Oryzias latipes: one gene and its partner. The protein of the gene in region 1 purifies or fractionates together with the protein of each later gene. This does not show direct contact. Links are inferred from orthologs where the notes say so. Each region holds a gene or a part of one and is shown in the gene's direction. Other genes may lie near its edges.

Region 1 (3,757 bases):
GCTGACGCAACCGCTCCCGCCTGTCACGGTTACTTTCAGAGGCAGAGGCCACCCCGCCGCTGCCGGTCTTCCCTCCGGCTCGATGCTGGAAATCCATCTCTGTGAGGTGGACTCAGTCACAAGGTAAGAAAACAGGAATCCTGTTGATCTCTTCTTATCTGGATAGAAAACATGTTTTTGTCAACTCATGATTAATACTACAAGTAAGCATTCTATTGCTTTGTTAACGCAAGTCAAAAGACAGAAATTGAATTTGCGAAAAGGGTTATTACTTCTTGAGCTCAAACTTTTTCTCCACAAAAAAAAAACAACTTTATATAAAAAATTGACAATCAATACATAGCATCTCAACTGACTGAATAAAAAAGGGGCCAAATGAAGAAAGTAATAAATAAAATAAATTAATGGGGGGGGGGGCAATTGCAGAGCATAGTTAAGGTTTCACAAACTTAAACGGGGAGAAAATAGCATCACGAATTATTTAAATCTTATTTTTGAAACTATTTAAGGCCTTAAAAAATATTACTTGAGCACACATCTGTAGCCAACAAAACGTCCTCGAGTCGACCAATTGTAATTGAGTATTTTTGTGGGTGCAAGAGAAACCCATAAACAACGCAGCAATGTCAAATAATATTCATAAATGAAAAAAAAAATCCGTAATAGTTTCATCATTTTAACAACCCAGTTTTAACTCGTCACCGAATAAGCATGTAGCAATTAAATAGCATTACTAGCTAGCTAAAGACAACATTGTGAAAATGCTAAGCTAACCGGTAGCGACTTATAAAGAGCATCTAAAGCTCAACAAATCAAATTTTAGCGGAAAACAAAGAAAAAACGTATAAAATGATCAATGTTTAGCTTTGCGAGTAACTATATATTCAGCATAAATTATAAACAACGTTTCAAACAATCCGCTAAACACACTTACCAGTTTGCTAACGAGGGCACTACGCAAGCGTTTGTTCGCACTGAGCATGCGCCAAATCATTTCCCGAGTTTGTCAACCGTTAAAAAATGATGCCCCCATCTGGACTGGAGCGGGTGTTTGCCCTTGTATTTACTTATTTTTTTCCCCTCTTTAAAACTCAGAATCATAACGGAACGATCGTTAAAATGTTGAATTGTTACTAACTTCAAGTGATTTGTTAAATATAGACTTTAAAACATTTTTGACCCTCGTTTGTTCCTGTACTCGTTGATCCCCGTGTATGGGAGTGTCGGTGCAGAGAGAGAAAGCAGCCGATGCGTCCGTTTGTAAAGAAGGAGAAGTGTTACAATTGACCGCAGAAATGACCAGTTATTCCTCGACACTTTTCGAATACATTAGATAGCGAGCCGACTAATTCCACGACAAACTGTCGCTTAACACGTCGTAAAGTTGTTACGCAACTCAACGATGTTTTTAGTCAGGAAAGCGGAGCAGTAACAGACTGAAGTCCACCCCGCCCGCCTGCCTGCCTGTCCGGGTTGAATGTACCTGCTTCCACCGGGACTGGGATGCGTTTTAACGAAAAGGAGATGGTCTCTTTGAGCCGCCAGCCTTCGGAGATGGCAGCCGAATTAGGAATGCGGGGACCCAAAAAAGGAGACGGTAACGCCGGAGCGCTGATATTTATCAGTGACGCAAATGAATAGTTCCTACTTTGTATTTATTATAGGCCTCAATCTCTGACCGAATTATTTAAAAAGATGGATTATAATTACATATTCTCTTTTAGCGATGGACATAGCATAACTGATAATATTATTATTATTATTGGATGCAGTTGTCAAGAGGAGACTAGTAAAACTCGTCGTTAACTTCCTGTTTTACTTTCGGATAGATGAAGAGGAGGTGAGAGATGATTTCTTATTTCACCACATTTTTAAGTGTTTTGTATTATTTATATATACTTTTTTTTAAGTTGAGGTTCCAGTTTTTTGCTTTTTTATTTTTTTTAGCCAATTGGAGCTTTGCTGTTGGAGCAGTGTCGAGTGGAGAAGGAGGACAAACAGACTTTCTCCATTGGTGAGTGAGTCACTATTACTTGCAATACTTTCACTCCAACAAAACAGTTACTGCTTTGCTAAGTAGGGTTGTCTAATATAATTTCTTTAAATTTTCAGTACAAATTCAATTTTTTTTAATCACATTTTTAATGTTACAATACACAAGGACATTAATTATTTCTTTTTATTCGGTTTATACATATAATCTATCTTGGAAAATCTGGTTTTGGAATGTACATTTTAAAGGTAAATTTGTATGATATTAAATCATTAAGTTATGAATCAATTCAATTCAGTATTTTGAAAGAGAAACACAAGCTTGCGGTTCAGTGAATGAGACCATAAATATTGTCTGACTTTTTTTTCTTTCTCTAAAATATACAGCTGAATTAATGTTTATAACATTTATTTTAATTGCAGTATATGCTTCTGATATTTTCTCTGCTGACAGCGTTTCTAGATGAAGCAGAGAGGAAATATGTGTTTGAATGTGACTCTGAAGACCAATGTAAGGAATGGATAGATGCTATTATCAAAGCCAGGTACGTTTTTTTAATCACTTTTATTAACAAACACATTGCCATTTTTTATGGAGTTATGAAACATAATTTGTAATAATGTAATTCAGCGGGAAAAAACAAAAATAGTTTCATTTATAAATACATCTTTTTTAAAGCCTCTGCTTAGTGTGTTGATCCAGTTTTTATCTTAAAGGAGTACAAATCACAGTCAATCTTGAGAAAAATAAAAGTGCAATAATACCATTTATCTGTGGTACTTGGAGTTTCCAGTAAACAGTGAATTGTCCTCATTTGAAAGACCTGCTGATGTGGTGCTGCTTTTCGCCTCTTATCTTCCAAATTACGTCCTCCAACAATACGGTCACAGGAAGTCACGTGTGGCCAAGATAAAAAACAAAACAAAAGCATCTTTACAACTTTGCAAATTTTATCTGACCAATTTGCAAGCTATTACTAGCAGCTCATATAGGTTTAGTTATAGTAACAGTAGCTGTTCAAGCTTAAAGTTTAAGTTAATTTACAGTATTAGCTCTGTTTTTATTAGTCTGGAGTTTGTTTGACCCATTTGGATAAATCCAGATAGTTAGTCCAATCAAACCACATTTCACATAAAAAAAACCACAGAGAACTTGAGAATGCCATGCTTAGTCTGCATTTTTTTTTGTAGTCTTTTTGCATGTATTCTTTAAAAAGTGCTACCAATGATGCAATTTTAAAGCAACAAACTCAAATAAACAAATATTCGCTCCATGACAATATCACAAACTATTTTAGTTTCATTGCAACTGAACTTCATGTTTGTTTTAGTTGTTATGCAGAATAGTGAGTAAGGTATGGCAGCATAAATGACCTTTCCCCTAAATAACCATAAAACTGATTTATTCAAGGCAATATTTTCTTTTCAGAAGTACAGCGGTCTAAGTAAAATTGGATAGAAGATGGATAATTTTTAGAAAGATAGGACTATGTGTCATTGATATTGGTTCTAAAAAAAAGAATTCATGCTTTTTTAATGTAACATATCAAAAACAAAGTTGCAAACAGTTCTTTCAAGCAATTTAGGACCATGAAGAATTTTTGGCATGAAATTGTTCACCAGGTTGTAGAAACATTAAATCCAAGAAAATGACATTTGTGTAAAGTCTAAAAGAAGAAGATATAAAAAATGAATGCCTCAAAATGGTAAAACAGATACGTTAAATGTGCTTTGAAATAATTCTTCTAGTACGATTCTTGGTGTG
Region 2 (3,657 bases), on another chromosome or scaffold:
TTTTAATTCCTATGGTTGTTATTCAGTTTACTAAAACAGGAGGAAATGTTATGTTTGGTCAAGTGATGGAAAATGTGAGTTATTTTTAAAGTTTAGTGGAGTCTCAATTATATTTTTTTAGATGTTCTATTATGGTTTATGCTTTTGCCATTTGGCTGAAAATGATTCAATTTAGCAAACAATAAAACCTGATTTTCACACTTATCTAAATCCTGACATCAGTCATTCATAATCATTCTCTTTGTAGTTTTGTTTAAGTTGCAGGTCTTTGTTGTTCTTGTCAGATACCATTTCTGTAGCCGTATTGTTGTAATCAGAAAGAGTCAGCAGTGCTGCCGGCCTTTCCCTCAAACTGTTTTGTTTTATCTGTTTCCTACAGCTCCAAAAACCGAGTCCCCGCTTGGTGTGACAGAATCCTGTGGAGGGGCAACAAAGTGGAGCTGATCGAATACCGAAGTCATATGGAACTAAAAACCAGCGATCATAAACCTGTCAGTTCCATCTTCAGCATCGGGGTAAGATTTAATGCTGTTGAAGAGGAAACAACAGACAGCGGGTTCAAATTATACATAGATTAAATAGATCTTTAACTCTGAAAGTAGCATTTAACATACTAGAATAGAAAGACTTTAAATGCAGGTTTGTTTGTAGCATAAATTAGGTAAGGTGGGTTTTATTGTCAGTTCAGTCCTGTACTGTAGAAATAATGACATTAATTTTCTCAAGCTGCTACAAAAACAATAAGACAAAATCCACCATCTACTAAACTTAGACATTGTTTTATACATAAAATGATACAATTGAGAATGAATGTCAAACAATTATTTTGGCCATATTTTTCTAGCCTTATAATCAGAACTTGGTATGACTACCAAAATGATTCTTTCATTTTTTTTCACTTCATTAGTTCATGATTGGAGTCTATGTGGGGAAATTTTTTTTCGTCAGCTACCAATTGTGCAAGTTGAGAGAAGATGAGATCAAAGATGAGGAAAGATTAGAAAGGCCTGTCATTTTCATCATAGGTATACCTCAACAATGAGAGACAAAATGAGAAAAAAAATCCAGAAAATCATATTGTCTGATTTCATTTGTAAATTATCGTGGAAAATAAGTATTTGGTCAATTACATGAGTTCAACTCAGTACTTTATTTACGCTTTGTTGGCAATGACAGCAGTCGAATGTTTTCTGTAAGTCTGTAAGGTTTTCCCAAACTGTTGCTGGTATTTTGGCCCATTCCTCCATGCAGATCTCCTCTAGAGCAGAGTTGTTTTGGGGCTGTTGCTGGGCAACACAGACTTTCAACTTTCTCCAAAGATTTTCTATGGGGTTGAGATCTGGAGACTGGCTAGGCCACTCCAAGACCTTGAAACGCTTCTTAAGAAGCCACTCCTTTGTTGCCAGGGCAGTGCGTTTGGGATCATTGTCATGATGAAAGACTCTGACATGTTTCATCTTCAATACCCTTGCTGATGGAAGGAGGTTTTTGGATTCATCTGACCATAGGACATTCTCCCAATCCTATTCTGGATCATCCAAATGCTTTTTAGTAAACTTTAGACGGGCCTACACATGTACTGTCTATAGCAGGGGGACACGTCTGGCACTGCAGGATTTGATTCCCTGGTGGTGTAGTGTGTTACTGATGGTAGCCTTTGTTACTTTAGTCCCAGCTCTCTGCAGGTCATTCACTAGGTCATCCGTGTGGTTATGGGGTTTTCGCTCTCCGTTCTTGTGATCATTGTGACCCCTCGGGATGAGATCTTGCAGGGAGCCCTAGATGGAGAGAGATAATCAGTGATCTTGTGCGTCTTCCATTTCCTTCCACAGTTGATTTCTTTACACCAAGCTGCTTACCTATTGCAGAAACAGGTTTCCCAGCCTGGTGCAGGTCAACAATTTGGTTTCTGGTGTCCTTAGACAGCTCCTTGGTCTTGGTCCTAGTGGAGTTTGGAGTGTGACAGTTTGAGGTTGTGGACAGATGTCTTTTATTTAGATGACCAGTTCAAACAGGAGCCATAAATATAGGTAATACTGAACAGAGGATCCTCTACAGAAGAAGTTACAGGTCTGTGAGAGCCAGAAATCCTGCTTGTTTGTAGGTGAATAAATTCTTAGTTTCCACCTTAATTTACAAATAAAATCTTTAAGACTGTGATTTTCTGGATTTCTTTTTCAGATTTTGTCTCTCATAGTTGAGGTATACCTATGATGAAAGTTACAGGCGTCTCTCATCTTTTTAAGTGGTAGAACTTGCACAATAGGTGGCTGACTAAATACTGTTTTGCCCCACTGTATGTCTTTTTATTCTCAAATTTCCTTTCAAACCAATTTATTTGGTTACAAAAACACTTCATAAGTGATTTTAATCCGAACAAAGGTAGAACATGTATTAAAATGCCTTTTTCATGTGGATGAGAGCTAGGTGGACTGTTAAACGTGAGTGTAAGAATGAACCCACGTGGAAAGTAAAATAGATGCATCCAACAAGTGGAGTTTGATCAAACAATAACTGGAGGCTTGGACAGGGATCTGGCTAAAGAACACCTCATCTGTAACCCTTATTGTCTTACTATAGTGGAAACATGGGCAAGTCCGGTTTGCTGAGTCCATTGTGTCTTACAGAGAGCGACTGATTCACGTTGTGATGATTAATTGGCTTGTGGGTTTGTTCTCACCCTAGAATACACTTTGTCCACTGTCTGCATTCTCTGCCTTCTCAAGAGAACTTTTGTCCCTCCCGTGTCCTGACCAGCAACAGCCGGCACCACAGAAAGTAGTGGAAAAAGGCCTCAGCCTGAGGCTACATCATTGTTGTGACTCTACCTGCTGTCAGTTCCTGCTTTTTTAGAATCTAGCGGTCAGAAACGTGATCAATTTGTCCTGACGTTCACATGTCATGAACTGAAAGTAGTGGTTGGCCTGAATTATCGTTTTACCATCACAATAGATCTGGAGAAGTTGCAAAACAACACACTTTGTAAAAACAAATATTTTGTTCCTGTTTTTGTTGCAGGTAAAAGTCGGTGATGACCAGCGTTTTAAAAAGGTGTTTGAGGAAACGGTTCGACAGATAGATAGAATGGAAAACGACTTCCTTCCATCTGTGTCCTTAAGCAAGACTGAGGTAAAAATGCAGAAAGATACTCGTGTTCTCAAAAAAGTAATACTAAGTCATGTTTTAACTATGCGTGTATAAATGTGTAATATTTCAAGATTCCCACACATAAAAACAATCACATTTTTAAGGTTTTAAAGCTCTGATTACCTTTGCTTCTTTTCTTTGCTCTCTAGTTTTTCTTCATTGATGTAAAGTTCAGACAGCTTCAGAGGGAACGTTTTCTAATCACCAATGACGGTCAGGTTCCCTGCCATTTTGCCTTCATCCCCAAATGCAATCAGTCGCAGTACTGCAAGTCCTGGCTGCGCGCTGAGCCCAGCGATGGATTCTTAGAGCCAAGTATGTTCCCACGACCTTCAACAAAATGCTTCACCAAGAGACCGTTTCTAAATGTGTCACCTATGATGACATGTCTTCAATATTTATTTTTGAAACACTGATTTTATTATATGCTTTAATCTGAACTTCTTCATTTCTGTCTGAACAGAAGAGACTCTGGAGATCTATCTGGAGGTGTATGTCAGTAAAGACTCT

What was found. The genes of interacting proteins can lie anywhere in the genome.
Region 2: the proteins of plekhj1 (region 1) and ocrl purify together in Homo sapiens (co-immunoprecipitation; 3 studies listed by BioGRID and IntAct, counting the BioPlex papers as one, with this or other methods). This does not show direct contact. The link is inferred for Oryzias latipes from reciprocal best matches to the Homo sapiens genes PLEKHJ1 and OCRL.

The regions. Positions count from the first base shown.
Region 1 is NC_019875.2:22,628,954-22,632,710, forward strand, and holds the start of plekhj1 (pleckstrin homology domain-containing family J member 1), read left to right. Parts: upstream 1-1,070; 5' UTR 1,071-1,503; coding exon 1,504-1,597; intron 1,598-1,772; coding exon 1,773-1,840; intron 1,841-1,947; coding exon 1,948-2,014; intron 2,015-2,446; coding exon 2,447-2,537; intron 2,538-3,757. Other genes in the region: sf3a2 (splicing factor 3A subunit 2), read right to left, coding at 1-97.
Region 2 is NC_019868.2:9,856,421-9,860,077, forward strand, and holds part of ocrl (inositol polyphosphate 5-phosphatase OCRL-1), read left to right. Parts: intron 1-379; coding exon 380-515; intron 516-3,018; coding exon 3,019-3,129; intron 3,130-3,296; coding exon 3,297-3,462; intron 3,463-3,610; coding exon 3,611-3,657. UniProt on the Homo sapiens protein: Catalyzes the hydrolysis of the 5-position phosphate of phosphatidylinositol 4,5-bisphosphate (PtdIns(4,5)P2) and phosphatidylinositol-3,4,5-bisphosphate (PtdIns(3,4,5)P3), with the greatest catalytic activity towards PtdIns(4,5)P2.